Xenopus tropicalis: one gene and its partners. The protein of the gene in region 3 purifies or fractionates together with the protein of the main gene of each other region. This does not show direct contact. Links are inferred from orthologs where the notes say so. Each region holds a gene or a part of one and is shown on either strand. Other genes may lie near its edges.

Region 1 (10,856 bases), on a different chromosome or scaffold from region 3:
GGCCCTGGGATCCTGGGACCATCTTGCTTTGCAAGATTTACATAATTACATATTGTTCATATTATCGGGGCACCAAACGCAAACGTGCAAATTGGCTTTAGATCCGAGTACATTTACTGAATGATGCCGATTCATGCAAGAGAGGTTGTGTTTGTGGCAAATGTTGCGCAACCACTGTGCTTGTGCTTAATATTTGAACCCTAGTGAAATAAACCCATCTTCAAAAGGTAATAAAGGCAAGCCTGGGTTTACACAGAATCCTCAACGCCTGGCTAGATCAGATATAAGAGCACGCTAATCACTAACTTGGTGTGCTACACTAAGCATGTCTGTTCTTGTAGCCAAATTTTGAAACCTATTTAAAAAACAAAAATATCAATTACAAATATGCCAAGGCAAAGACTCTAAACTAATTGAAGGACAAAAACAAATCAAAATATATTGAAAAGATCACATCAGAACCATTTAGTCTCATGCAAGTAAAATGGAAAGGATAATGGCTTCACCTACTTAAAGGAGTTTCCCATTTAATGATGTGAATAAAATCATAGTATTTAACTATTATTGTAGTTGTTAGGAAGTGCGTGCATTTTAAAAAAATAATAATGTTGACATTAACATGTAATGGTAATAACATTACCATGCTTGTTTTAAAATTCATCAAAACAAAATCTATATTCATTACATGATTGATCCAAACCCAATTAAAATATAAAACTGCATTCTAGCACCAAAAGGTTGCAAAAAGCAACAACAAAGGGAAAACAGGCTGTGTATCTCTGCCATTTTGAAAGCATTTGTTTTTGTTGAGCCGAGGGCCAGTTTCCCTACACAAATCTTTTGAAAGCCAGCTGTACTATGTGGTTTCACGCAGACTAAATTTAGACAGTTCTGTTCATCACAGCAATGCTGTGTGTCAGCCGCATCAAAGCCCAAGGGCAGAAAGATAAAACAGTGAATACAGGTCACGTAGCACGGTAGCTAACAAACTGTAAGAGAACTTGCACTCCAGGGTATTCAAGGCAGTTTTGTCATCAACAATCTAGTATCCCTTGAGCCTTCACGACGTTCAGTTGCTAAGCAACCTTGGTGTTAATACCTTAGAGAAGAAAATCTTACCAGGCATCTGGCCGTTCATCTGGTTCTGCATGTGCGGTGCAGACGGACCCCCTCCTACCATCCCTTCTGAAGGCATGTTGTGAGCGCGTGGTGGTTGTGGAGGGCCACTCTGATTCATCCCTGCTGGACCCATAGGCATATTTTGTGTAGGAAGCTTAAGCAAAGATGAAAAAAAAAATCAATACTGGTATATGAATCACTATATAATTTTCCTGCCTTCACTCTGTCATGTATTTAACACAGCAGTTTATATTCTCCAAAACTAAATAAAAATAAATGCCTCACCATAAATGCGCTAACAGAATAGCGCATGCAAATAGCTACAACTGAAATCCTACACTTTTGCACTGTTTTAATTCAGGACACATTAATTGGCCCATGCTACCCAAATATAAACTTAAATAAAGTGTCTTATGTGAAATAAAGCCCAAACTAAACTAAAGACACTAGAACTTGTCTTTTCTCAGGAATCAGTCCTTGTATGACAGCATGCCCTTTACATGTGTGCATTTAGCAGTGTTAAAAACATGCATCTTATTTCTTCTAAAGGATAAGTAAGCCTTTTATTTTAGAATCCAATAAAAATACTCTAAGCAGCCCACAAATAACATACTATTTTTCAGCTACTTCATACTCCAGCGTGAAGCTCCATCCCCTTTTCTTTTTTGCCCCAGCTTCTCTGACTGTGAAGACGGTTTAAGAGGCATCTAACGTGCATGCTTGCTGCCTCTGCTCCAACGAAAATCAATCAGGCACGTGAAAGTCTTCACAGTCAAAGAAAGAAGGAGAGCTCAGAACAGAAAAGGGGGCAGAAATTCACGCTAGACTAGGAAATAGCTTAAATGAGCTGCAAAAATGAAATGAGACTGAATGCAGGAAGGTAGATGCTATTCTGGGCACTAATCTGGGGTAATTTGAGAAGAAAAAAAAAAAGGTTTACTTATTCCTTAATGGTTTTCTCTAGCTAGTTCTACCCCTAAAGAATGGTATTAAATATGTCTGAACCCTAGTAATGCATTCTGTACAATTCCATCTATTTTTTAGGAAAGTGTGAGTTATTACCTTACTATTTGCAAGAATGCACTGGGTAAGGTATTTTTAACTAAATAGATTTAACTAGATTTTCCTCTGGCCCAAAATGAAAATACTTACTGCTGACAATAAAGGTTGGGTATTCTGATTCGAATCTGCTATTGTGGCCAAGTATACTAAGTTTGTATGCAGCATCTGTTGATATCTGTTTAAAAAATGAAAAAAATATGGAAAAAAACTACAATGCCATTTATTTAAAAAACTAAAAATCAATCAATCCATGAATATAACAATTCAAAAACTATAAAGCATGCATATTTTCAAGAATATTCGGAACCCGGGACTTTCTGTAATTCTGAGCTTTACAGATGTTATGTCCATTCTATGCCCTCAGTTTGTCGGCAGCTCTTAATCGGTCTGTGTATGGTGAGTAGGGATCTACCAAACCCAGGGTTCGGCCAAATCCCAAAATACTGGATTTGGTGCATCCCTAGTACGAATGGCCCCCTGACTATTCATATGTGTAAAGATGGTTGGCATACTATCTCAGCAATATGCTCTACATGCAGACTTTGTGCTAAGTCCTGCATATAGCAAGACAGGTCGTTGAGTGAAGGTTTGTGGGGAGCACTGATTTTAAACAGTACAGAATTTGTAATTAATAATATTGATAAATGTTCTGTCCTTGAGATGAAGCTTATATAAATTCTTAATATAAAAATAATATCAGCACCCCATCAACAGTAGGCAAAGCAAATGTAAAGCTGTACTCAAAAAAACAAGACAAAAGAAAACCACCATGGTTAGGCCTTAAGAAATTATTTAGTGTTGCCCTACACATACAGACAGATACTAGATAATAAGTTATAATAAATTATATATGCAAGTAACCCATCAAAACGAATATGAAGATTATACACTGTATTAGGAGAAACACACAATTGTTTTATATGGAAAATTAGATGCCAGACGTGAAGAAAACTTTAATCTCATATGATAGGAAAAAGCACATGAAATGCAGCTGTTACTTGTTGTGCCTGGGACATACATACACAATCCTACCAGGACATTAAGAAACAGCTGGGGTTGCTGAAAATTCTGCTAAAAGACAGTACTGGCAAAACCCATGAACTGGGCTCTATTATTATTTTTTTTTTTTTTTTTCAGCAACCCCATTGGTTTCTGAATATGTATGTCCCAGGCACATTAAGTAATAGCTGTAATTTATGGCCTTCTTCACATCTGGCATCTAACTGCTCACTACAGGTACAGGATCCCTTATCCGAAAACCAGCTATCCAGAAAGTTCCGAATTGCGGAAAGGCCATCTCCCATAGACTCCATTATAAGAAAATAATTCTAATTTTTGAAAATGATTTCCTTTTTCTCTGTAATAATAAAACAGTTCCTTGTATTTGATCCCAACTAAGATATAATTAATCCTTATTGAAGGCAAAACAATCCTATTGGGTTTAAATGACGTTTAAATGATTTTTTAGCAGACATAAGGCATTAAGATCGAAATTACGGAAAGATCCCTTATCTGGAATGCCCCGGGTCCCGAGCATTCTGGATAACAGGTCCTATACCTGTATATGAAAACATGATATTGTTATAAGTATTAGTAACCATATACAAAATTTCAAAAACAACCTACTGTCAAAGTACAGAGACCTCTATATAGGTATAAACAATTTAGTGCCACACTGTGAAAGAGAGAATTATATTATACATACTGGGAACATTCTGAGGTTTTTCCTTTGTTCTGATAATCCATTATGCATTGTATTAGATGGTTATTTTCATCCAGCATCTGAAAATTAAAAAAAAAAAAAAAATTTGAAAAATAACTGACTGATCAGTTAAAAAGCATTCTGTACTACAAAATTAATATACAAGATTAAGGTTAGTGTCAAAATGAGAATGTTAAATAGTGCTTTGGCATCATTTCAACACTTCCAACATCCAGATGCACTTTGTTCACCTTTTGGATGCCAATTAGTTCACCTTCCATTCATGTCACTAGTGGTGACTGGCAAATTCCCTTAGGGTGAAGACACATGGAGCTTCTAGTAGCAGCTACTTTTTCACAGATACTAATCGCCAGAAAATACACTGCCAAAAAAGGGTTAGCTTAGTATACACCCAATGTGCAATAGGCCAAAGAGTCATAATTTATCTACTTAAAAGGAGAAAGAAAGGTAAAAACTAAGTAAGCTTTATCAGAAAGGTCTATGTAAATACAGCCATAAGCACTCAAAGAAATGCTGCACTGACTTCTCTGTCAAAAGATTTCTTGTGTCTGTAATTCATATGCCAGAGACACACAGCTCTCTGCTGTCTCCTCTCTCCTGCTCCCCCCTCCTTCAAGTATGCTAAGAACTCACTCCTCCCTTAAGAATGTGGATCTGAGCCAATCAGCAGGAAGCTCACTCATACTCTTACTAACTGAGCATGTTCACTTGGTCTGGGTGTCTGTGCAGGAGTGAGGCATAATGGGAACTTTCTTTACACAGCTCAGTGTTTTTTCTTCCTGTTTGGCTTCTGATCATCTAACAGGTGAAATATGGGGAGACTTAAGGGCACTATTTAGAGAACTGAATGTATGCCTGCAGCTTGAGATTAACTCTTTATTAGCCTTTCCTTCTCCTTTAAAAATAATGTGCTTTAGAACCAATAAAGAAACCCTGTGCATAAGAACTATTGGCAGCCTTTGATTAGTGATACCAATGAAAGTGACACTGCCATGTTCTTGTGCAATGAAAGACTTAGGTTATGGTGGTCAAAAACACAAGAATGTAACCCACTTATGATTTCCTTAGTTAAAGCATGTTTCCCCTTATGTGTATGGGCAAGGGACAAAGCTAATCTCTTACATGCTGGAGTACTGACCTAACTGCATATCGTTGCTTAATTTTATAGCACCAACAATGCACACTATATTTTACAAAAATAAATGAAAAAGCAAGGTCTCTAGCCTCTCAGAACCTTGTATAGCCATGTCAAGCTCTCAGCAGGAACATACAGGACAACCATAGGAATCATGCGGCAGAAAGGTACATTGTGCTGCACTGAGGGGGGAGACAGCACTGTAGAATTTTTGAAGCTATCCAAAATATTCATAGCCATTTAGCTTTGATAATCTTGAAAAATATGTATATATATATATATATATATATATATATATATATATATATATTTACCCTGTACAGTTAGAAACACAAATGTAACTAAAAATTAACAGTATCATATGAAATGCCAAGCACAAGAATCAGAATATATTTATTTTACATATTTCTCTGTGACAACGACTTCATAGAATATCTACTACATGAAACAGTACTTACAGATATACCTGGAGAACTGTGAAGTGTAGTGGCCTTTAATGGCCTGGGCCTACAGCTAAAAGCCATCATGGCTGCTCACTCAGACACAAACACTGTATAAAGGGGTTCCTGTGCAATAGTGTTATTCCAATATGAGAGTGAAATTTTGTAGGAGTCAATGCAAACAAAGTACCAGTCACAAACAAAAACTCTGGTTCAAAACCAACAGCTATGAACAAGGGAGCCAAAAAACAAAAGTAACCTTTTGCCTACTTAAAATAGAATTTTAGCCAGATTATAAATATTGATAATTTTAAACTGATTTCTTAAAAATAATTACAACTGAATGCAATAACAGCCTGTCCTTTGCTGTTCTTCCCACTTTTACAGCAGCCATACATGGTTGAATCAACACAGTATCCCCCTGATACAAGGGGCCAAACACATTAGGGCAGCCTATTATTCTGTTCAGGACATAACTCCATTTTACTTTTCCTCCTCATCAGCACGTACATCCCGCACCTGCTGATATGCTTGTGTCTCAACCCTTTCTCCTTGTAGATTGTAAGCTCTTTTGGGCAGGGCCCTCTTCACCTCTTGTATCGGTTATTGATTGCTTTATATGTTACTCTGTATGTCCATGTATGTAACCCACTTATTGTACAGCGCTGCGGAATATGTTGGCGCTTTATAAATAAATGTTAATGTAATGTAATATGCTGTATTTGCAGATACATTTCCAAACCTGTCTGACACAAAATGACCAATATCCACAGTACATAAATATCTGTCGGGACCATAAGCCCCCAAATGTACTGAAAAGCATTTCACTACGTGCATGGCCATCTTTACTGCTGGCTCTGATTTCTCATACAATGTTGCAGAAGCTAGATTTCAATTTCAACAATGTCTTGCACTTTTTTTTTTTTCTAAGTCTGTTAATTAGCTGCATCTTCTAATTTGTTTCAGTAGTCGGAACAAACAGTACGGAGACATTGGAGATATTGTGTTCGATAGTATTTGCATCGAAGAATAATGCACTGAAAAACTGTAACAAACGTACATTGAAAAGTTGCTTAGAACAGATTTTAATGATCTTTAATGAACCTCTTTAGGGTGGCTGTTAATCCCCAGTGGCCCAGATACAGTACAGATAAAATGGCTCACCAATTTGGCTCTGCTGACACGTTTATGTGCCTTTTTTTGTCCTTACACCTACAGTGACCTTCCTTGGTAATATAACTGATGATAAAAGCTCCAGATACCTTGTCTATGGTTAAACCCAGGCACATACAATATGTTTGTGGCACTTTGCCATTTATTAATCGATAGCATTTAAGTAGAACAGTAAGGACTCCCCACCCCCGTACACTGCCCCCCAGCCTTAGAAAGCACTACACCAGTGCAGTTGGGGGAATTCCCTCCCGGCAGAAGGGCACGACTAAGCAGTTGCATTGAACGTATTTTTTAATATCGGCGCGGTTACCTTTTGAATGGCCGCAGGAGTGATCTCCCCCTTCCCCCGCTGCCTGGGAGCCGCGAAAGCTACAGACATGATACACGAGCTAAAGAAAACAAAGGGAGCGAAGTGTAGGCACGAAGCGTCTCTAAAGGGAAAGACTGGCGAAATCTGGAACGGACTTCCCACTGCCGCTCTCACACACCGCGAGATTCCAGCAAGCGACTCAACAACATCCTAGGGGGGGGGGGTGCGGAAACAAACAGGCAAGCATTTACTCCATACAGGCAACATATATCTAAGAGGCCCTTAAGGGAAGCTCAGACTTGTGTAACTTCTTAATAATAACAACAACAGAATAATCAACGAAGACATAAAATAAACGCTATAACTTCCCAGTCTACCAATACACCCCTGTAAATACAGAAAGGTCTCGCCCAAAAGTTTATACCATAATCCTTTGCGAAAAGAAAAGCAGGAAATGGACAGTTTCTTCCAAATCGTACGTTGTTAAAAACAATCGAGCGAGGATATCCATGTACCGTTACAGTTGAGGGGTTATGTTAAACGTCTATGTTACCCTTAGTAAATGGCTATCGCTATTTTAAGTACCAGCTAATATAACATTCCCCTCGTTTGAGATAATGGTACGACCCATCGGTCAATTCCATATTACCTATTGGCGGGTATGGCTTGCAAAGAAACTAAGGTGGGCTATAGTTTTCTTATTATAACTCGCAGAACTATAATGATACATGGCGTGTAAACTGAAGCGAAGCGACCCTCACTGAGATACAGGGGTTTTGCCCTTCTCAATGATGAAGAAGAATGAACTTCCCAGAAGTTAGGTATTGACACGTGATGAGCTATAAACACGTGTCTTGCAGTGTTTGGCCCCTTGGAATCAGCGATTGGCTGACTTTCTGCTATAAACAATACCGCGAAGTCGATTTTGAGGGCGGGAGTTGCATTTTCAAAGAAACCCTGAATTTGCTGCAAGTTAGTTACAGCAGCTTTACATACTCTCGTTCAATGTTTAACGTTTGTTTTATAATAAAGTATGTATTAAAGTCTCTTTTCCGTCTTTTTTTTTTTTGTTAATGCGAGGTAGAGAGAGAGAGAGTTGTAAAGATTCGGCACTCACCAGTATGGGGCACAGGCTGGGTGCTGACAGAAATAATGCATCAAACTCAACAGTAGAAAGTTTCAGCATACCATCTACGCGTTTCGATCACCACAGGATCGTCATCAGGATGAAACGCGTAGATGGTATGCTGAAATAAATCACTGACCTGATTGATGCTGTAGCTGTGAGTGCTTTCTACTGTTCAGTTATATATATATATATATATATATATATATATACTTTTTAACTTTTTTATACTTTATCATTTTCTGAATAACATAACACAAATTTTGTACAATGCACAAAGGTAAGAAGTCAGTTTGTGCTGTATATTTTACATTATATCACTGCTGGGACAGAAAATTGGCCACAGCCACCTCATAAGAACGCCAGTGTAGAAATATTGTAACTTAGGTTACCCCAAAGTGCCTCTATCACAGTGCTCTAAGACAAAGTATTATTAGCACTCATTTATAAAGTGTCAACACATTCCACAGTGCTGGACAGCAAAAACACTCGCTCCTAAAAAGATAGAGGCGTAGGGGACTTATCTGATGAGCTAAGTTGTCCCTGGTGAAGAGGGGAGAGTTTAGGGTAGCTCCAGTATGTAATGTAGATCCAGTCTAGGAGCATTTACGTAGTAGGAATGTCCCTAGTGCCAGGCAGAGTCAGAGAGGAGTGTTTGCACATCTGGGAGTGTGTAGGCTCCATCCAGATCCATGCTGAGAGCTTGAAATCTAAGATGAGGTTCTGTAGCAACACTCTATACTGAGGACATATATTGGCGTTAGTAACCCAGTGGGTGTGTAATTTACTAGAGGTGAAGGGCCCTAAGTCAGACATTGTAATAATGACTGTATATCATCACTGTGTCAAGAACCATTATATAACTGTTTTGCTATTGTGTTTAAGGTTCACTTTAGGTCAGGCACCTAACCTGAACCATCAGGAACAGATTGGATAGACACATGGATGGGTGGCACAAACATCTTTAATATTGTCAAGAGATGTTGAGACACTGAGTCTGATGGTACTCTGTACTTAAATTGTGCTTCTGTGTAGGATGGAAAGGTGGCCTTATTAAAGATATTGAAAACCTACCAGAACAGAGAACACACATGTAAAGTATAATTTAGAGCTATCTTATTCTTGCCCTAAGCACCATATATACTGATCTTTTTCATTGGTCTTCCACTTGAGTGTGACTCATGCCTACTGCATAGACAGACAGATGGAATTTCAAGAGGGTTCAGAGATAGCAATGCACAAGTTATTTGAGGCATCATTATTTATAACAGGAACTTTTTTCTCTAAACCCAAATGTCAGAATGATTTTTTATTTCATACTGTTAAGCTTTTTTATTTCTATAACCACTCACTATAAGCATGATTACAATAAACCAACAAAATTCCTAGATGTAACCAGCATCTCAGCTTCTGTCTGGAAATTGCAATTCCCCATACACTGCCTCCCATTTATTTACTTAAAGTGGACCTGTCACCCAAACATAAAAAGCTGTATAATAAAAGCCCTTTTCAAATTAAACAAGAGACCCAAAATCATTTTTTTATTACCACATCCATACCTATTATAAAAGCATTTAAAAATCCCAGCTGTCAGTCATATATTGCCTGCCCCGCCTCTATGCCTTAGAGGTGTGGCAGACAGTTACTTTCACTTTCAATTCAGAACTTCTTAGATGTTGCTGCACCCCTCACATTCCCCCTCCCTCCTCACCATGTAATTTTGTAACCAGTGCATGGACATGGGCATTAGGTCCCTCCATACTGGCACAGAAACCAGATATTGGCAGAATGCAATGCCTGCTTTGATAACAGTGTCCACAAAATGGCCCCTGCCTGCATGCTGCAATTGAGAACTCCAAGGCTGAAGAAACTAAGATTAAAATAATTTATATAGTGTAAGTAAATTTTGCTTGAAAACCACAATAGAAAACATTTTGGAATTATTTCTTAAGGTGACAGGTCCGCTTTAACAGACTAAAGAGTTGATAGATTGACCATCATAGACTGCCACAAAAGTAATAAAATTGGTAACTGTAAAAGATTGCTGGCCCTGACCCTTTGTATACAATCTGCTTATCCATGTATTAGTTTAGCTGAAAACCTAAGCACTGGCAAATATATGATTATAGCACACACTACAAGGTAGTACTCTTTATTCATGTACAATGTACAGCTTCAGAATGAGATTCAAAACAGGCCAAGAAATAGACACTGTCTATGGCATCTTCTGGCCCCTCTGGTATTTACCAGAATCTACAGATTGCCAGTGAGCACCTAACTATGTAACATGCATAGTGATGCAATGATGGGTGCTGTATAATGTTCTTCACCAGCAGCAACAACCCCTGGAATGTCAAACACATAAAGGGGCAGAATACCCCCATGAGTTCAATGGATAGAATTTGTGCTGAAACGCCATTATCCAAGGACCAAACATGGAGTATCTTCAGTTCTTTGTTTAGCTCAAGAATCATACACTTTTGGTGATTAAAATAATATGCAAAAACTATCTTCTGCTCATGTCCTATTAAATGAACTGCTGTTGAGAAAGAGGTATGTTACCCTTTCTTGGCACTAATATCCAGCGCCACACTGGGGCACTAACAGGATAGAGCCTCCACTAAATGGAAGTTTTGGGGGGGTTTGGAAAGGTTAAGTGCCTCCACCCAGGGCTAAAACCAGGTACTGGTGACCATACACCTCCCTGCAAGAGCAGTGCAACAACAGTGATTAGTATAGCCCAGGGGTCCTCAAACTTTTTAAACAGG
Region 2 (10,798 bases), on a different chromosome or scaffold from region 3:
TCTGGGAAGGGACTGGGGCTGTGGGATAGCAGGTATAGTAGGGAGAGATGGTGCCTATAGTAGCAGTGGGGGGATAATAGCCTCTGGGAAGGGACTGGGGCTGTGGGATAGCAGGTATAGTAGAGAGAGATAGTGCCTATAGTAGCAGTGGGGATAATAGCCTCTGGGAAGGGACTGGGGCTGTGGGATAGCAGGTATAGTAGGGAGAAATGGTGTCTATAGTAGTGGTGGGGATACTAGGACTAAGGGCAGTAGGAGAGCAGGTACTGGCAGCCAGGGAAATAAAGATAAGGATAAGCTGCCTCAGTTCCTGGCACATTCAGTAATAGTGTGCCCTGCCCCTAGGGTGTGAGTCACAGCGCGGTGGCACCAGTGGCCCTTGTATGGCAGCAATTCTACTCTCCTCGAAACCCGATCTATAGAAATAGGTATTATATCCTGATTGTAAAATGAATCAACACTCTATTATTCAAAGGGGCATAGCCAGTTGGCAGCCACCTTAATAGGATTAAATTGCCAGTTGGGCATTTACCAAGCGGACACAATTAATCTTTGAGCATATGGAGAGTAAAACTTAATACAGGCAGAATTTCATTTGTTCTAGCCGTTTCATTGTTGGCAGATGCTGGAAGTTGTAGTTTTATTCAGACATTCATTTTGCACTGATAGTACATACTGGGGCATGATTAACTAAGCTGTGGGAAATCTCTCCAATCAGCGACTATACACATCCTACAGGCGTTGTTTGTACAGAGGTTTGCCCATACACCTCCCCCTCTGCACCTTTCTGCTGCCTATTCAGACCTCCCTTTGTATCCCCTCCACCTTAATCCCCCGCTTCTCCCACCCCCTCCAGGTGCCCAGAGTTACTGCCTCACCTAGCCTGAAAGACAAGTTTCCTCCCTCAAGCCTGCGCAGTGCATGCTGGGAAACGGCTGTTCCACCAGTGTTACTAATGTGGGAGTGCTGCCGAGCATGACTGCAAACACACAAGTCGCTCTATACACAGAAAGAGGAACGGGCTATTTCTTTTGCATTATGCTATCTTCATACTCCAGCAACTCCTGCCCCGTCCCACCCAAACTGTCTTTTCATCAGTCATAAGTGGGTCACGGGGGTCAGAAGAGAAAGTTGAACACAGTCCAGAGAAGGATGCAGCCACTCAGGGCCGCCGCTCCCTATAAGCAGAGTACTCAGTCTGCATAGGGCACCAACTCCCAGGGGGGCACCATCCCAGCTGCTCAAAAAAATCGTTTTTATATATTATAACATACCCCCCCAACACTGTCCCACCGGTTTTTATAGCGCATCCCGCGGTCCCGGATAGTTCAATCAATCTATGGGGGCAATTGGGGGCACTTACTATGGGGGCATTGTCTATGGGGGCACGGTGTATGGGGCCCCTATAGTAGGTGTTTTTTTTTTTATTATTTTATTTTTACTTCCGTAATATTTGGGGGAGGGGGCACAAAAGTAAATTTCTGCTTAGGGCACCCATTTGGCCAGCAGCGGCCCTGCAGCCACTAAACAGTGATGGCATCTATCTACTCTCTGCACTGCTGGTTCTGACTCCTGAAACAATATAGCACAAGCCAGCTGATTAGCAGAACTGGAAAAGAATGGATGTCTGCTACATTTTTTCCCCAGAGTCAAAACCAGAGGACAGACTGATAGTGCTTTTGATAGCATTTACAATACACATAACTTTCATATATAGTTACATAGGGTTGAAAAAAGACCAGAGTCCATCAAGTTCAACCCATCCAAGTAAACCCAGCACACACAACCCACACCTACCAATCTATACACTCACATACATAAACTATATATACAACCACTAGTACTAACTGTAGATATTAGTATCACAATAGCCTTGGATATTCTGCTTGTTCAAGAACTCATCCAGGCCCCTCTTAAAGGCATTAACAGAATCTGCCATTACCACATCTCTAGGAAGGGCATTCCCCAACCTCACTGCCCTCACCGTGAGGAACCCCCTACGCTGCTTCAAATGGAAGCTCCGTTCCTCTAATCTAAAGGGGGGACCTCTGGTGCGCTGATTGTTTTTATGGGAAAAAAGAACATCCCCCAACTGCCTATAATCCCCTCTAATGTACTTGTACAGAGTAATCATGTCCCCTTGCAAGTGCCTCAAACCATTAAACATTTTTTTTAATGAATGTATATTGGAAAGTTGCTTAAAATTATATTAAGCAACATTTTTATTTTTGGATTTACATCCCCTTTAACTTCCTGTTAGGCGGTTTAGCAGCCAACTGCCTGCCATGCCTGGAATAGACAACCATTGGCTTGTTGGGTCCATTTTAATCCGTACTGCAGGGAGCCGTTTAGATTGTGGTTTGGCAGCGACAGCAGTAAACAGAGCAAGATAAATGGGGGAGGCTGAGAGAGTAAAGACAGGAAAAAAACAACACAAAAGCGAGGGAGGAAGGAGCCACGGTGAAGCCTGGATGTAAGAAGTAGCACGGTCGCAAAGAGCAGCCGCTGTGAGATCTATGCATTTCTATAACCACTATCCTCGGAGCACTGCTGTTAAAAACACATCAACCACGGCAGATCTTTGAAAGGACCCTGATACTTGGCTAAGCAGCCAATCACTGTGACCCTTTCCACAATGTCAGTGGTGAAGTTGTAGGGTGGGTTACCTACCTGCAGGCCCCATTCCTGCCAAAGCAGCCGAATAACACAGTTTCCCTGCCCAGAGTGACCAGGAATGCCCTAAAGTTGTTGCCGAACTATGGAGCCTCCATGAGAGAGGGCACAGGGCACTCTACCTACCCCAATGTGCTTTATTTTATACAGTCCTAATTTTTCTTCAAAAGAATCTAAAGTGGCACCATTTAAATTTACTTTTCTGTGGCCATAAGGCCATAAAGTACAAGCCCTGAAATGAACGATTTCCCCCTTTTTAACTCGTAGCCACTGGCAGAAATGAATATTTAAGGCTACAATGTTCAGGTACTTATTGTACAGCACTGTGGAATATGTTGGCGCTTTATAAATAAATGTTAATAATAATATTATTAACCCTCACAATGGATCCATCAGTGACAGGGGTCAGCAGGCACAGTCTATGTTATAGATTGCCACTTCTGGTCCTCATTACCTCATATTAATAGGTCACTATGGATCTTTATCTTAAAATTAGATTAAAAGGGCTGAAATTAAATGAGACTGAGAAAACCTGACAATCATAAAGGCCATTCAATTTAAAATTAAAAGTAGAGGTCAGTAGAATGCCCCACATCTGCCAGTGGTGACCTGTACTACAATGCACCGCATCTACCAATTGTGAACTGTTCTAGAGTGCACCACATTTGGAAGTGCTGACATGTTCTAGAATGCCTCACATCTGCCAGTGCTGACCTGTTCTAGAATGCACCACATTTGGAAGTGCGGACATGTTCTAGAATGCCCCACATCTGCCAGTGCTGACCTGTTCTAGAATGCACCACATTTGGAAGTGCGGACATGTTCTAGAATGCCCCACACTACCAATGGTGAACTATACTAGAATGCACCACACTACCAATGGTGAACTATACTAGAATGCACCACACTACCAATGGTGAACTATACTAGAATGCACCACACTACCAATGGTGAACTATACTAGAATGCACCACATCTACCAATGGTGAACTGTACAAGAATGCACCACATCTACCAATGGTATCAGGTGCCAGTGATGAACTATACTTGCATGTACCTCACTGACAGAGAGTGAACTTAACTGTGTTGTACCACACTGACTGGTGTTGAACTAGACCTGAACATACCACATTCCTAGGCAGTGAACTCTACCAGAATAGACCATCCTAAAGTGATCTATACCAGCATGCACAACACTGAAAGGCAGTGAATGATACCAGTTCAACCATACTCCAAACAACCAGTGATGAACTATACCAAACTGTACCACACTGATCAACAGCAAACTCGGACCATGCCATTTGCTGGTGAACTATACCAATATGTATGAAAATGAAAAATTAAAAAGGAGTGAACGATACCAGAACACACCACAGTGACATGCAGTGAAAAGACAATTATAAAGTGAAGTAGATTTAAATCAACTGATCAGTTGTTTACCATGATATGCACCATTGTATAAAATGTAGGATTACTATTATTATATTATTCTTGGAATGGTTACACAAGCCATCCTAGATTATCTAGGCCCTGCTTAGCAACCATCAAGGCCTTATCTATACTCTCCTCCTGCCTACCTGGGACCATAATGATGTGCACTGATTGTCACATGAAGATGTTATGTCTCATTTTTCACAATTACACAAAGAATTTAGAAAGATACTGGATGAAAGTGAAACATCCACAGTCTTTATTTACACCAACGACTTTACCTTTGGATTGTACAACTGCGATGCAATTCAATAGGTCACCTGAGCTGTAACTGAACATGACTGCTTCAGATCACAATTGCATCCGAAAAATGCTCTAGAAATATTAGATCAAGGGCCTGGTGTGCTACACAAGTCACAAATCAGTCAGCTCAACATTTAGTCGCATTTAGTCTGATTTGGAAACCAGAAGTAGCAGCTTGCCAGTAGCACAGTCAATGTGCAATTCTATAGATGCAAGCGTTCTGTGCACTAGTGCCTGACTTTGGATGCAGCTATGGCATATAAAACACAATCATGCTTCAGGCGTAAATCATTTTCATGCCATTGGATTCTGCTAGTCACATGCTACAAACGGGCATGTGATAGTCAGGCACTATTAACAGACCCAGCAACTTGGACCTACTGACTCTGCCCAATTAAAACTGGATAAACAATGTTCTAAATTCTAAATGAAGTGATCTAGCACAGGGAAGATGGAAATGCACAATACATTGCTATTGGAAATGGTTACCTGGTAAGGCCCCATTGGGGGTCTGTATGCTCCAGGGTTTGGTCCCCGCATCATGTTCATTGGGCTCCCAGATGGTAGAGGTAATCCTCCCCGAGAGGTCATGGAGTGTTAAACAGCAGACAGCACTACTGTGCACAGGTGAAGGAATGCTGTGTATATACAAGAGGGATATACTCTGTGTGAACAACCTCCTTCCTAATGAATCATATAATGTAGAATTCCTAATTATGCAGCCCTGCACTGCGTGCGTTGGCTAGTTGCGCAGCCCTGCACTGCGTGCGTTGGCTAGTTGCGCAGCCCCGCACTGTGTGCGTTGGCTAGTTGCGCAGCCCCGCACTGCGTGCGTTGGCTAGTTGCGCAGCCCCGCACTGCGTGCGTTGGCTAGTTGCGCAGCCCCGCACTGCGTGCATTGGCTAGTTGCGCAGCCCCGCACTGCGTGCGTTGGCTAGTTGCGCAGCCCCGCAAAGTGTGCGTTGGCTAGTTGCACAGCCTTGAACTGCATGTGTTGGCTAGTTGTGCAGTCTTGGCTGTGTGTGTTGGCTACTTGTGCAGCCCCGCAAAGTGTGTGTTGGCTAGTTTGTTTGCACTTTGACTTTTAAACAATTTTAACGATATATCTTCAATAAATTTTTGATAAAACATTGAAGGGTGTGCTGGCCACAGATGATTATTTTCTGTATATACATAATTTTGGCTATGCACCCCGCAGAATATTGAGCCTTGGAGTGCGGACACCATTTGGATTGATATATATATATATATATATATATATATACACACACGCACATTTTATACATAAATTGTGTGTATATATTTATCCTCTACGTGTTGCCCTATTCAGTTATACAAGCTTATAGAGTTCGTGTTAGTATCAGTACTATGCCTATCAGACTGTAGCCCTGTGTGCCCGTAGCAGTAACACGCGTGTAAGCCCGGCGCTAAGTACAGCACAAAGCCGCTATCCTACAGCTAGTCCAGCACTACTAACCGGATTCCCCAGTGAAACCCAGCGGGGTTCAGCCTCTCTCCGTATAATTGTGCCCGTACAGCTGCTCTCAATGCGCAATCCCTGCGCTGCGATCCTCCGGCTGTAGTTTCCCGGGGCGCAAACCGAGCGCTCAGCACTTTCCCCTTCCTGCTGCTGTCGGGCGGCTCATAGGAAGTTATTGGAAGGTTTTTCTGTTGGTGTCATCACTTCCAGAGAGCTGTTTTGCAACAAACCTCCTTTTCTCATCTCTGCCCTCCCACTGCCTTCCCTCCCCTCCCCTCCTCCTGTGTCTCTCCTCCCTCTGTTTCTCTTCCCCTCCTCCCCTTGTCATCTGCCCTTTCTCTTTCGTCTTTGCCAGCCCTCCTCTACCTGTACCCACCCCCTCTTACCCGTGCTCACTCTCCTTGCCTGCCCTCTCTTACTTGTACCCACCCTCTCTTACCTGCACTCCCTCTCTCTGCCTGCCCTCTCTCACCTGTATCCACCCTCTCTTACCTGCACTAACTGTCTCTGCCTGCCCTCTCTCACCTGTATCCACCCTCTCTTACCTGCACTAACTGTCTCTGCCTGCCCTCTCTCACCTGTATCCACCCTCTCTTACCCGCACTCCCTCTCTCTGCCTGCCCTCTCTTACCTGTACCCACCCTCTCTTACCCGCACTCCCTCTCTCTGCCTGCCCTCTCTCACCTGCACTAACTGTCTCTGCCTGCCCTCTCTTACTTGTACCCACCCTCTCTCACCTGTACCCACCCTCTCTTACCCGCACTCCCTCTCTCTGCCTGCCCTCTCTCACCTGTATCCACCCTCTCTTACTGTCTCTGCCTGCCCTCTCTCACCTGTACCCACCCTCTCTTAGCCACACTCATTCTCTCTGCCTGCCCTCTCTTACTGTCTCTGCCTGCCCTCTCTCACCTTTACCCACCCTCTCTTAGCCACACTCTCTCTGCCTGTCCTCTCTCACCTGTACCCACCCTCTCTTACCTGCACTAACTCTACCTGCCCTCTCTTACCTGCACTCACTCTCTCTACCTGCCCTCTCTTACCTGCACTCACTCTCTCTACCTGCCCTCTCTTACCTGCACTCACTCTCTCTGCCTGCCCTCCCTTACCTGTACTCACCCTCGCTGCCTTCCTGTCCTACCTGTGCCACCTTCTCTGTCAGCACTACTCTACTTGTGCCCACTCTGCCTTTTCCTACCAGTTCCACTCCCTTTGCCCTTCCCCTCTGTACCTGTGCCACCCCTGCCCTTTTCTATATGTGCACACCCTGCTACCCCAACCCTAGCTCTGCCTTGCCTTGCCTACCTGTGCCCATCCTCTCTCTGCCTCCTTCTACCTGTGCCTGCCCACTCTGCCATCTCCTTGCTGTACTCTCTACCTTCCAATGCCAACATTCTCTGCCTGCCTTTCTTTCCTTTTCCCACCCACTTTGCATACACTTTCTTACAACCACCCTCCTTATCTGCCTACCTGTACCCATACTGCCCTTTCCTACCTATGCCCACCTTCTCTGCTTGACCCTTCCTACCATCATCTGTGCCTGCCCACTCTGCCATCTCCTTGCTGTACTCTCTACCTTCCAATGCCAACATTCTCTGCCTGCCTTTCTTTCCTTTTCCCACCCACTTTGCATACACTTTCTTACAACCACCCTCCTTATCTGCCTACCTGTACCCATACTGCCCTTTCCTACCTATGCCCACCCATTCTCTGCCAGCCTTCTCCTGCCTCCCTCTGTTAATTCTTTACTGCCCACTCACACCTTTTCTATTATTCCTCTCCAATCTGTTTCCACCCTCACTTTGTACACTGCATTCACATTTATTCCAGACCCATTTTCTCCTCTTTCCTGGCCTTCTACCCACCCCCATTTGCCCTCTCCCTATCTCCTCCCTTTCCCTGCCCTCTTACTTACTAATTCACAGAATTCCATCCCCTAATTGCTCTTCCATGTGCTCTGCAGACTTTGAGCTGTTCCTTTTCTTCTTTCTTTCATGCCTGCCCTGCCTGCCCCTCCTCCCCCTCTGCCCCTGGGCTACATGCCTCTTGTGTTTCCCCTCATTATACTGCGTGTAGGACATGTGCCTTGCTCTGGGCTCATTCCCCATCACACTACATACTGGGTAACTTTACATATTGCCTTTAGGAAGCTCTAAGTTAATATTTTACTGAGGAGAAAAAAGTAAGTGGTTTGGCAAAATGAATCCTGGTAACCACACTGTAGCACACACAAACACACCTTTACCTGCCTGCGTGCAAGAACTCGTACAGTGACTTTTACAGACACAGATTAACCACCAATGTGCTATTTGCAACCTTTCAGCTGTTATTCAGCCACAATTGCAGGCAGCTGCCACTGCCTTTGGATGTTGGAGCATCTATGGCTGGCTGAAGGTGCCCCCTGGGAACTGTATGAAAATGAAGGTCTTGCTCAACTGTATGGCTCTGTGCCAGTGGGGTCAGACTCAGAGCATGTTTCTGTCCTCAGGATTAAAAGGTCATGTGGCTCAATAAGACTGCATTTTAGGGTCTGTGCTTCATGTGAGCAATCTGTCACTGCCATAGGCATGCATTCCTGCTGTTGGAAATTCTACAGGCCAAGACCCACATGGGCTCATCCCTTATCTAATTTTCTTTTGTAAAACTCAACGTGAGCCCTGGAGGGCATCTGCACTCTAGCTCTGTTTCTAGTCACATTTCATCCTAGGACACTGGGCTACATACTGTACTGAGGCTTATCCACTATTAGGCTGCAGTGCATGAATGTCCTACATTTAGTTACTTGTGTTAGTTCAAAGGTAGTGCCATATTGCTCACCATTCATGGGGGACTGTATTGCACACTTGGACTATGGCTGAATGCAAAGGGGAAAAGCTGCTAACTGAGCCCGGAACTGCCACTTATGGTGCCACTGTTGTCTTCAAGCTCATGGTCAGAAGCCTGGTGAGGGCAGCCACCATATTGGTGAAGTCCCTGGTATTGTTAAAACAGTGCAAGGTGATGCACCCACAAGAGATTTATCTGCACATCAAACACATTTACTTAAATCCAAATCACATTGTTACAGTGTGACAGTACCCAAGTGTGCCATGCGTGCACAATCCTCTCAGCCAGCTATTGTGTAAAAGTGCAACCCACGTGGAAATGTAGTAGTGTTAGCCAAAACGACACATTGCTTTGTTTTGCAGACGCTGATAATAACCAGAAGAGGTCTCCGAGGTGGTGGTGGGGGCGATTCTAAGCACCCAGCCTCCCTCCCCCACACTAGGTAATTCATTCAGATCATAGACAGAGCTTTTCATGAAAATAGGTGAGAAACTGACTGCCTCATGTGTGTGCCATGGATTCTGCCATGGGCACAGAATAGCTTGCAAAGAAATGCCCTTTATTGTCAGACACTGCTTTTATCTTCTGCAGTAAGATACACGCTCGGGTCAGGCCTAGGGGGGTCCTGTGTCTTCTTCCAGAGCAAAAACTCTGAATTCCATTTACACCCATTTCCTCTGTTTATAAAGATGACTTTTTTAGTAGCGGCAAAGACACACGGAAATGATCATTCCCTGGCCCCAGGTTTTACTAGTGCTTTGCCAATGTAATTTTGCTATAGAAAGCAGCATCTGTCTGTCCCTTTCTGAAACAGTGTAGCAGAGCAGTTCTCATCCAGGCTGGCTTTGCTTATATTGTTTTTAGGAGCCATAACCAACCGACAAATGCTGCTTTTATTTGCAATTACATGTACAAAAACCCTTGAACTGTACATTGAACTTTATGTTATAAGGAAATTTATAGGGGGAGAATAGCACCCGGACTCCAAATTGGCAAGAAGATTGGCTTTAATACACCGGTGGAGAAGCACAATAGGATGTACATAAATCTTCCAAACTTATTTCTGGCTAATTGTTATATAGTCACTCATGTTACCCACTCAGTCCACCAGTGCAACATGGTAACCAATCATTGTCCAGTGTGCTTGGCTATCCAATATTTCAATCACTCGATGCCCAGTGTTCTTGTTATATCAGTTTATCTCTTTTGACAAACATACAAGTCTTTGGTGATAACATGTTCCAGACAACACAGGATGAGATATTGGTGGGATGATAACATGTTCCAGACCACATGTAATGAGATGTTGGTGGCTGATATGTCCCTCAAGCTTGGAGATGAGTGTCTTAGCATATGCTGTAGACAAATATATAATATAACAATTTTAACTGCCAAAACAAGTATGGCTAAATGAGGCCTACAGTTCTGTCCTGTAAGCCTTTGTTTAGACCTAGACCTCTGTCCGAATGAGCCTAACCTTATCCTAACATTTGCACCATGTGTATCTGAAAGCTGCTTAGAATTACATGATTTTCTTTCATTGCGCAAAAAAACATTTTTTTGGGCAGTGGACCCCATATGGTGGTCCTAACTGTTTACCTTTGGTCAGTTTTTTATTGGTTTCCACATTTGTATCTGGTTGGTTTTGTCTTAAAAAATGTTTTTTTTTTCTCTGCTGTAGGGGGGGATCTCCAACACCAAGGAATATTATTAAAGCCCTAAGTCCCCCATTAAGGGTTTAGGGTTCAACAAATGTTCCAGTCACATGTCTAAAGTTGGCTTCTGAATGGCTACCTTACATGGCACAAGATGAGAATGTAAGGCTGCACAATATATTCAGAACTTTGGATTGGTATTACATTGTTTAATTGTTGGTGGGCTGAAGGGGGGATGAATATGCACCCTGCTGTTTGTTTATTGAGGATACACACTCAGAGGATAAACTCTTAGTGCAGAAATTGTTGCAGCACAGAAAGGAGTATATTGGAAGCAGATGCTTCCATATGGGTGTGGTTAGTTATTTTACTTAACAAATCATTCCACCATGCCACTGTATGGTCACTCAAGCCGCAGTGATCCATGATCGAA
Region 3 (10,367 bases):
TAAAAAAAAACCCCAAATTGTTGTAGAAAAATGGGGCATAATATCCATTTGCATGAGCCAGTGATTTGCCAGGGACTGAGAAAAGACAAGGCAGTCTCCCAGACAGTAGGTTAATATCTGGCAAGAGATGATATGCATACCTACTGGCTGCAGTCTGAGGCGCACACTATAAAGTAAACAAAGGAGAGGTTATTAGAGGTTAAGTGCAGTGCATTTCTCAGAGTGAGCAGCCAGCACCACGCTGGGAAGATAATTTACACAGCATGAACCTACTGGCCTAATTCTGGCTGAGGTAGAGGGATAGGGTGGGGTGGGAGGAAATTGCAAGCGCCCAAACACGTCACTAGTTTTGCTCTGAGCAGAGGTCAGAATGAGGACATCTTTGTTTACTAAAGCAGGGAAGCCCATGAACAACCCCCTCCCTCCTCTGTGGGGATTCCCTGTTGGCTTCTGGACAGATTCTGTGACATCACCTGTCAGCTAATAATAGCAAAATCAGCCCGTTTCATGCCTGCAAAGATTAATGGTTTTTGTAAGCTTGCTGATTAGGGCCAGGCTCTCAGCTGTGCTTGGATTGGTCTCTTTTATTCCCTTTTCTGAAAGCCTACTCAGTGGAATTCGCTTTGATGACTGGGCTTATATCTCTGAAGCGAGGCTATTATTTATGTAGGAAAATGCTATGGCAACTTTGCAAATGTAAAAATGGAAAGATTTACTGGGTTTTTGACATGGACCCATTTGTATGGAATACAGATAAGCGGTGAGGATCTGTAAATTAGTAAATGTAGAAACTGTGCATCTACGTCACACCCTGCCTTCTGAGTGTCCATAGTGGGGTTTCCAAATGCAGTGGTGTCTAATAGCATTAAAGGATCGCTGTCATGGGAAAACATCAGTTAATAGAGCTTCTCCAACAGAATCCTGCATTGAAATTCGTTTTTCAAAAACACAAAGATTTTTTTATTTTTAATTTCACATAAGTCTAGCCATATTCTTCATTTCCCAGAGTGCCACAACGATGTGCTCTGATAAATTTCAGTCACACTTTACTGCTGAGCTGCAAGTTGGAGTGATATCACCCCCTCCCCCCAGCAGCCAATCAGCAGAACAATAGGAAGGTAGCAAGATAGCAGCTCCCTGGCACCTGTATTGCTAAAAGTGGTAGATATCAGAACAGCACTCAATAGTAAGAAATCCAAGTCCGGCTTGCAGCTCCCCCAGTTACATGGGAATAGAAGAAACAAAAGGTTATCTGAAAGCAGTTCTAATGTGTAGAGCTGGCTCCTTCTGAAAGCTCAGACTCAGCCTACACACCAATATTACAACTAAAAAAAATAATATATAATATATGAATAGTACCATAAAAATCATGACAGAATCCGTTTAAATGCTCTCCCAAATTCATTTCAGCTTGCAAAATCGCGATTTCGTCTTCATTTATACACTGCTGAAATTGAACTGGGTTAGGCATGGGCACATGGATTAACAGTAGGTGGGTGGGTCTGAAAGGTGTGGGGCAGCGAATTGGGGCTAGGGTGCTGTGCTTTGTTGTTTAATTGGTCAGGCCTAACCTGCAGATATCTTGGCAGTGGGAGATGAATAAGTAGACCTTTTTAAACATACAGTATCACACTTTTGAGTGCTCTATTGAGTTGCATATTACATTATAGGTAAAGTAGCATTGTACGTAGAAGCTGTGTTGGTGCACAACTAATACTCTCTCAGAAGTAAGTGGTTGCAAATGTGAAATAGATAATCTTGAAGCTACACCCTGCTTACTTTAGTGTCCTAGATTGGTACTTTAGGCTTTTTAAGTGTTTTATCTTTTGATCATCCCCTCAGCGATGTGCCTTTTAGGATTGTGAATAAATATAACTTTTTTTTTTTTTTTATAAGTGCACTAAAATCTTAAACTTATAAATACTCACCAAACCAGGATGAGCATCATTCGATGTGTGGGTTGCCAGACATAGCTCTGAAGATGACACACTATAGATGAAACCATATTCAGGCAAACTATTTGTAGGCTGTAGAACATAGGAGCTATCGCTCACGCTTTTTTAGAAATTTTTTTTTTTTTTTTCATTTTTTAATTTAACATTTTCTGTCAGCTCAATATTATGTTGTGTGTGCACAGGTCAGAATTTGTGTGTAAACAAGTGCACAGGTCAGACTTTGTGTGTAAACAAGAGCACAGCTTAGAGGGATAGTGGTGGAATGAAAATAAAGGTATGGTCATGGCCCAAGACAAAATGGAACAGCAAAAGCACTTCCACGCCATGATCCAATCGATCATCAGTCTGTTGTCCATATCCATGTTAATAACTTCACACTGAAGTGAACCATAATCATTTAGATGCATTTAGCATATCAATTTCATCAAGAAACTGTGCTGATTTATGCAGTAAATTCCTTGCTTACAGTGGATCCCTGAACAGACCTTTAATTGGCATCTGATTGTACCAATTAATTCCTAAAATCCTCCATAAAACACATGAATTGAGAAGAAGTGGGACAATGAACAGCTTTTACGCTCAAGATAACTGAACCAGACTACATTTTTGTTGTTTTCTTGCTAAAAAAATGTTTTGTTTTTCAAAAAATGCCCAGCCATATATTCCTGTCATGGGGTGGGTAGAGGTTTCATGGGAATTATAACTGGACATGATTTCAGCTGCTGCTGTGGCACTTGAGGTAGAACTGGATGCATTCCTTTTGCTTACCAGGAGATGGCGGCTGAATCTTAGGCTGCTTCTTTGACTCTCCAGGATTGAAAATCTCTGGAGGTGGCTCCTCCCCTCTCTCAATCTTGCATTCAAAGGCAAACAGATACTGTATGTACTGCTTTTTCAAGGAGCTGGCTGCACTGCTAGAGGTGCCAACATTCAGATTGCTTGACAGCTCTCGCCACTTCTTGTTTTTATTAACCTACAATAAAAAGAACATTATTGCGGTTAAGCACATGGTTCTGTAATCAGCAGAGGGGGTAAGGAAGAAAGCATATAGGTTATTCTGTGGTTTATCTCCCTATATTTTCTTAATATGCCTCTTTTAACTAACGCTCATTACTCCCACTCAGGGGGCGCACTGCCGCACACTTGCAGTTATAAAGCTATTAAAGAACCTGCTGATAGCAAATAAATAAATAAATATAAAAAAAGGCATCTGAGGCTTGTGAATGCTGCATCCCCTAATGCTGAGCACTTTACATTAGAGACATGCATGGAGCCAGCAATTTGCATCCCAGTAAAGTACAAGAGCATGGAAACGCTCACGCGCTCCTGATTCAATTAAAACAGGCCTTGCTGCTAAGAACTCATTTAAAAAACAATAAAAATAAGAGCAACTGTGTTATTCCACAATTTAGTATTATTGTGGGAGCTGTAAATGCGGAAAGAAAATATGTTTATTTTCAGAAAGCTCCAAGGGTGTATGTGCCAGGATGCCGATGTCTCTGTAGTGGAAACGATCTGCTGTGCTGCTTATGACTGGGTTAACACTTCATACAGACACCCAGGGGAATTTCTCAGCAAAGCCACTGATTTTTTTTTCTTTTTTTCAGGGATTATGAGATAATGTAAAATAATTCATTTTGGAGTATCGTGATGTATGTGAAGCACCTAGCGGTGTAAAAATGAATACAAGTATATTTAAATGGATGCCACAAGAGCAGGTACAGTAGTATTTTCAGAAATGAAGACATGGGGAATGTCATTAACGTGAAATTATTCTCAACGTGAATAATTATTCCTTTGCGTAAATAAATTTTTTCTTTGCACAAATTTACTATAGCTTTTGTGAACCTGGGAATTATTGTGATTATTTTGTTTGCACCAAGGATACACTGCCTGTAAGTAGGCCTTTATATTTATCCCACAATGTAATAGAGGTCTAATGAAGTTTATTACATTGTGGAATGAGGATTTTTCTTATTTATGCAAATTATTTTTTGGTTAACAACTTTTATTATCCCTTATGTTTGCCAACAGAGTGATTCTGGTCCCTGAGCCGCTCTGTACTAGAAGAGCTGTTTTTTTGTGTCCCCTGGAAACCTGCAGGGCATTACTGCCTAAGGTAAGATTCTCAACTCAGCAATACCCCTGCCAAATGTAGACTCATATGAAATGAATCTGAATTCTTACAATTAATTACTTAATAACAGTGCCATAGAGTTTACAGCAATAACCGTGGTAAATTGTAGAAAAATGCTATAAAAGTAGGATGCTAGTATTCTTTTTGCGTAACCACATGAGCAATTGGTGATGTAAATTATGAATGTGCACATTTGTATATTTATGTTCATGTATTCTATATGTAGTTGATACATATTTCTGAAAAAAAATATTCCTCACAAGCTGGAAAACAGGCGTTTAAATTAAGTGGACCATTTTAATACACCTCAAGTGATTCTCCTATTCAGTTTGTTCCATGATTTAAGAAACTGGTAAATTCACATACCTGTAAGTGGCAGACAAAGCATTATGCCATTACAATAATCATCAATTAAGTTGTATTACCTGAGCTAAACCGCCAATCTCTTTAACACAAAAGTACAGCCTGACAAGGTCAAGAGGTTTTTTTCCAACTGCAGGCAGATTTGCAACAGGAGTGCCTCGTTCCTCCATGAAGGTCAAGTACCGATCCACCCACATCTTCCTCTCTGGCTCATTTCCTAATTCATAAAGTTTTGTGATTTTTTCTCCAGTGGTTGTTGAAGAACTTGCTTTCTGCAGCATACAAAAGAGGGACAGAATATTAACATAGTCGCAGATAACTTAATACGAATATCTAGGCACACACCTTAATATGGCGTTTCTCAGACTGGTTAATGAATTCATATTTCACCTATTACATTAAAAATTGGTCTATAAATTTTCTGAACCACGACCTTCATTTTCATTACAAGTGCAATTCATGGTGTTTGAAAGGGTTATTGGCACTGTCTATACAATTCTTGTTTTTAAAATTTAATTAATTATCATCATCAATGGTTCTACATGGATGCCATATGGTCAATTGTTTTACATAGCTTCAGAAAACCCTGTGCATACCTTATATAACTACAGACAGTACAAACGTTATTTTATCAAGTTTGCCTTTGCAAGCAAAGCTTTGTGGTGCTTAATGTAAATTATATATAACATAAGAAAGACACAAAAAAGATGGTTGTGATATACAGATAAAATATCAGATTATCTTTTGGGTCAAATCAACAGCATGAGGGTGCCTGTAAGTAAAGGCTGCAGGACTAGGTAACTGGATCACTTTTATGCAAGAATAAGGAAATTGAGATGATATTTTTCAGAAAGTAAAGATATTCCTTTGCCCACATAATAAAGAAACAAATAACAAAGAATACAAATCTTAAAGCAAATACAAAATCATCTATCAACTGATTAAGCATATCAAGATTTCTTTAAAAAAAACAGGTGCTTTTATGAAATTAGGTAAAGTTGGTCAAAATAATAAAAGCAAGGTACAGCAAGTAAGAATCTGGAATGTTGTCTATAAAAAAAAAGCTATTGCATCACTGACTACTAGCTCCTCATTTAATCCTGTGTGGTAAGGTGTGCTTTTACTACAGTAAATAATTAACCTTGCAAGATACAAATTGAACTCTGAAAAACTGTAATGTTAAAAGTCTCCACTTAAAAAGAAGATTCTTCTGGTGGTGTGGTCAGATTTCTTCCTTCAGGCTGCAGCTTGTGGGAAAGTTTAAAGTAGAAAAATGGAGCAAAACAGTTTAGAAAATTAGATAATCAAAGGCTGGAAATGTCTCACGTCTGTAGAGAAAGTTGGACATTTTCTAAACAACATACGGTAATGCTGCAGTATTGTTCAGTTCTGCAACATTATGGAATGATATCACCCCAAATCATTTATAAGCGCTGTAAAAGAAGACATTAGAAGATGTATTTCAGATTGCCAAGAAAGGCCAATGGGCTGCCAGAGTCTGAAAAACTCTAGTAGGTCAGTTCAGGGAGGGAACTGAGCTATCTGGAGCGAACATAGCTACAGACATGCTCAGCACATTACAAGGCACTCCTAAGGTGCACATGAGCAGTCCAGACAGCAGCCTCCATCACACCAGTACAGGAAAGATAGTGGAACATTGCATTCCCAGACCAACAGCATTAGATTAGAAGAATGTATCAGTACCAGAGCAGGAAAAATTACATTTACTGACTCAGGTCATAGGTTGGGGGGCTGCTGTGCACAATATATGGGTGATAATACATTACATTTCCTTTTTCTTTAATTCATTACTTAGGTAATTATAAAAAAAAAACTGTACATGGCTCTGGGTAAGAATGTTTGCTTATGCAGACCCAGGAAACTTTTTTGAACCATCATATATAAGCACACTAAGCTCTGACAACACTGAGATTTCTTTATAGGCTTTGTAAACAACATGACTTAATTAGATTTTTATATACTGGTAATCCTCCACATTAAATGTGTCATTATGTAGTAAGTGGTTATTTGATCTTAAAAAAAACAAAAATCTACAAGCACGCCATACCAGCAAGATAAGAAAACTGTATTCTGTCACGCAGAATTGGACTTGCATGCCAGGAGGAGAGTAAAACCTTTCTTACTGGCCCACGCAGCAGGATTTTAGCTGCCATTTTCCTTCATGTTACAAGGTCCTGGTATGACTCTGTTTCACAGAAATTAAGTGTACTTCTTTTGAATCCCCCTGTAAATTTTTCTAATCACAGTACAGCTTACCCCCATGAATGTCCAGAACCCAGCAGCAAGGAGGAAAGTAGCTTTGAAGGGAGTGACCATTTGCCTGTCCAACATCTATGTGTCTTTAAACTCTGGGTGTCTCTGTGTCATTTAATACTGGAAGTTTTTGTGTCTTTAAATGCTGGGAATCTCTGTGTCATTTAATGTTGATAGTCGTCGTGTCATTTAATTTGATAAGTTAAGGAGAGTCACACAATTTATAGCAGAGCTCCATGGAAATCTATTAGAGGATGTCACTTCCAGCAAACGGTCAACTGGTCAGTTCTGGTTAGCACTATTCATTTTGTAGGTCGATAGTAGTACACCTTGACATTAGGTTTTCTGGTCAGCCCATTGTGACATAGTCCGCAACACAGGTATCAGCTTATGTAGATTCATTAAGCATAGTAGATTTGGAAGATTTGGAATACGAGTGGGTGTGCAACAAGTGTAAGTGCCATAAATTGAAATTAAAGAAAAACAACATAAAACAATAACAAAACAGATAACTACTGTTTAGCCAACAGCATGCAAACAATAATTAAAATCTATTTAAAATATTGAATAAACATAACATGGCCACTTACAGGGCTTGATGGAGTCTTTGGCCAGCCTGGGCTGCTAATGCTATCACTTTCATCTCCATGAAAGGAGGAGATGCTAGCAGAGCTTGGGGACAATGGGGAAGGGACTGTCAGGAGGCCTGGGGTTGGGGGCTGAGAATTACCCTGTGAACTGTAGCTATCCTGCGGTAGAAGAATACAAAACAAAATATGACAAGAATAGGGCAAACTTTACTGAAATGTAATATAATCAAGTGGCAGTGCAGTATAGTTGCATGTATGGAGAGAAACAGGTAAAAAGGCAAGCATATAAAATGCATTAACTCAAAATTGTTAATTTGATCGTTAGATATTAGTGCATTTGGCAAGTCTGCCATTTGCTTGGTAAAAAGGAAATAGGTCACCATGTTTATTTCAAGCAAACATGAAATGCTTAAGCATGGACTGCACCCTAATGAAACAATAACAAGTAAAGCCACTCGCCTTATGCCTCATGTAAGACGCAAAGCAAAATACTAAGTATGCCTATGATGGAGGTGCTGTATAGACGGCCAACAACAGAAGCTTGAACTGAAGGCAAGAAGGGGTAAATGGCTGCAGTTTGAAAACCAGGCACAAAAGTCTTTCCCCAACCCCACACTGGATATCCCCAAGCTCAAATATCTCTACTGTATTCTCTAAAGTTAAATGCATTTAGACTAGTAATGTTTAGGTTTATGGAGTATAGACATGTACAGACCCGCAAAACAAATAGGATGGAAGAGGCGTGCAGGAAACAAACCAAAGAAGGCTGGCTAGAATCAGACGATGAAAGACAATATGGCTGACACTGCTTGGCCATAACACCACATGCAGTTGGAAATACCTTTGACTTAGTTTCAGGTGGAGCAGGTGAATCTGCTTTACCATCAAGTTTGAGAGTTGATGCCATCTTAGATTCTCCAGTATTTATCATGTCAACAAGACCAAGGTGACCTAAAAAATAAAAAAGGAATAGCAATAATAAGGTCTCAGTGGTGCTTCAACAAATTACTACAGAGAACATACAAGAGACTACAAGAGAACATTGGCGCTATATAAATGCTTAATAAACTTGACCAAAAAACAGGTGGCAAATTGTAAGGACACAGGCATGCATTTACACAACCTTCCTTGCACCAAAGAGCCCTGGGCCCTTTAACTAACGCACCAAATCGCATAATGCTATTATAGTTAAGCACAAGTAAGTAAATGTCTTTTGACAATTAAGTTTAATGGCCCAGTTTTGTGCCTAAAGCTAGTAAATTAACACTTAGAACTGTTGGGAAATTTACCACATTGTGGTGCTCCAGCAAATGAGTGCTGTGGCATCACATTAGCTAACAACCTGTGGACTTTGGAAAGAAAACATACTTAGCACAATTCATCAATGAACAGCAATTGACAGGGCAAGTCACAGGCATATGAATGTTGGGGATATGGATATGACTTTAGTACACTCTATTTAATGTTCAAAAAACTAAAAGTTGCCATGTTATTACATATATATTTATATTATAAATACATAAAAATGCAGGGATTATCCAATATGAGCTGATAATACCTATATTGACAGAGCAAAAGCTTTTGAGCTTTTTACAGATCAGAAAAAAGGCATCTCAGGAAGCCAAATCGAAAAATAATTGAACATTACTACACAGATTGCCTTCTATAAAGTAATACAGCACATATTCATGTATTTCTTTGTTTTTAAAAATAATTAGTTTTAATTACAGCAATGAGAGCATGTGCAGGACTCTTGTGAATAAGCTGGCAAGCAGTACAGTGCTAATTTGTTAATATCTGTAGCATCGCTGCAGGTTCAGAAGAGCCCATGTCTGCCAAATTACCATCTATACACCATTGTGCTATGTACATTTACAATTATTTGCTGTTCACTGGGTAGGAAAACAATTTAAGCTTATTGATGTGAGATATCATATCTACTAAACTATCCTTATGTACATTCTATTGTCTGGTGACTACAATAATATAATATATCAAATTATAATAAAATAGTATACAATGAACATTACAATTAAACAGTTTAACGATTACTAAAATTAATATGATTCCATTTGTGGTACTTATTTTATCATTTTCCATTTTAAAAGTCTGTTGCACTAAACCAAAGTTATACAGATATAAAATTCCAATTTTTTTTTTTTTAAATTAATCCTTAATCCATTTTTGACTCCTTCACCTCAGAGAAGAACAGCATTATCATGCTGGTCCCGTTATGTTGCACCTTTAGTCTCCATTTTGAGTTGGGGCAGTATGAGTTTCCAATTGGCTGGAAATACTTCAGCCAATTCCAGCCTTATAGAACTTTCGTAATTAGTCTGTTTGTTTGATAAACAGCTGTTAACAATGTCAAGGTATGACATTTCATGAAAAAGTCCTATGTAACAGACGGAAAGCATCCAGTGTGTGCAAATTGTTAGAAGTGGAACCAGCCTATCACTGCACACACAAAGTGGATTTTGGCCACAAAATGCAAACAAGCATTTACAAAAAAAAAAAAATCTAAAGCTTATTGGTAGATATTATATTTTTACACTTTGTTTGGCTTCTGTGGTTAACTGTTCAAGCCAACTTAAAGCTTTTCATTTTTACACTATTACCATGAAAAACATTTAATCCAGTCATGGTCAAAAATCATGTAGAAATACTGAGTCACTAGATTTTGTAGATGTATTGGTGCGCATGACATTTACATTAAAAACTGCATATAGAGAGAATAATGACATGTTCCTTTCTGGCTCTTACTGAATATTATCCCCTTTGCCATTAAATATTCAGGCATAACCCTGTAGTAAATGATGTACACTTTTTATAAAAACATTTTGTAAAAACAGTGACAACTCTATTCTGCGGTAAAAATAATGTGTGAAAAGACTTTACAGCAGTACAACGCAGTAAGTAAATAATACAAAAGATGGGACATGGTATTCACAACCCAGATTTTATACTAATTCTCGCATGGGTACATGAGTAGATCTACATTTGGACAGGTGGAACAGGTGCCACAAGGTATTTTTCCATTAAATAGAA

Evidence for each region.
Region 1: the proteins of arid1b (region 3) and ss18 purify together in Homo sapiens (affinity purification with mass spectrometry; 4 studies listed by BioGRID and IntAct, counting the BioPlex papers as one, with this or other methods). This does not show direct contact. The link is inferred for Xenopus tropicalis from reciprocal best matches to the Homo sapiens genes ARID1B and SS18.
Region 2: the proteins of arid1b (region 3) and smarcd2 purify together in Homo sapiens (affinity purification with mass spectrometry; 5 studies listed by BioGRID and IntAct, with this or other methods). This does not show direct contact. The link is inferred for Xenopus tropicalis from reciprocal best matches to the Homo sapiens genes ARID1B and SMARCD2.

Annotation. Positions count from the first base shown.
Region 1 is NC_030682.2:110,342,820-110,353,675, forward strand, and holds the start of ss18 (protein SSXT), read right to left. Parts: upstream 7,032-10,856; coding exon 6,963-7,031; intron 3,964-6,962; coding exon 3,887-3,963; intron 2,357-3,886; coding exon 2,272-2,356; intron 1,274-2,271; coding exon 1,120-1,273; intron 1-1,119. UniProt on the Homo sapiens protein: Appears to function synergistically with RBM14 as a transcriptional coactivator. Isoform 1 and isoform 2 function in nuclear receptor coactivation. Isoform 1 and isoform 2 function in general transcriptional coactivation.
Region 2 is NC_030686.2:15,736,797-15,747,594, forward strand, and holds the start of smarcd2 (SWI/SNF-related matrix-associated actin-dependent regulator of chromatin subfamily D member 2), read right to left. Parts: upstream 5,917-10,798; 5' UTR 5,885-5,916; intron 5,046-5,884; 5' UTR 4,999-5,045; coding exon 4,897-4,998; intron 1-4,896. UniProt on the Homo sapiens protein: Involved in transcriptional activation and repression of select genes by chromatin remodeling (alteration of DNA-nucleosome topology).
Region 3 is NC_030681.2:52,282,746-52,293,112, reverse strand, and holds part of arid1b (AT-rich interactive domain-containing protein 1B), read right to left. Parts: intron 8,271-10,367; coding exon 8,161-8,270; intron 7,479-8,160; coding exon 7,320-7,478; intron 4,728-7,319; coding exon 4,518-4,727; intron 2,929-4,517; coding exon 2,724-2,928; intron 1-2,723. UniProt on the Homo sapiens protein: Involved in transcriptional activation and repression of select genes by chromatin remodeling (alteration of DNA-nucleosome topology).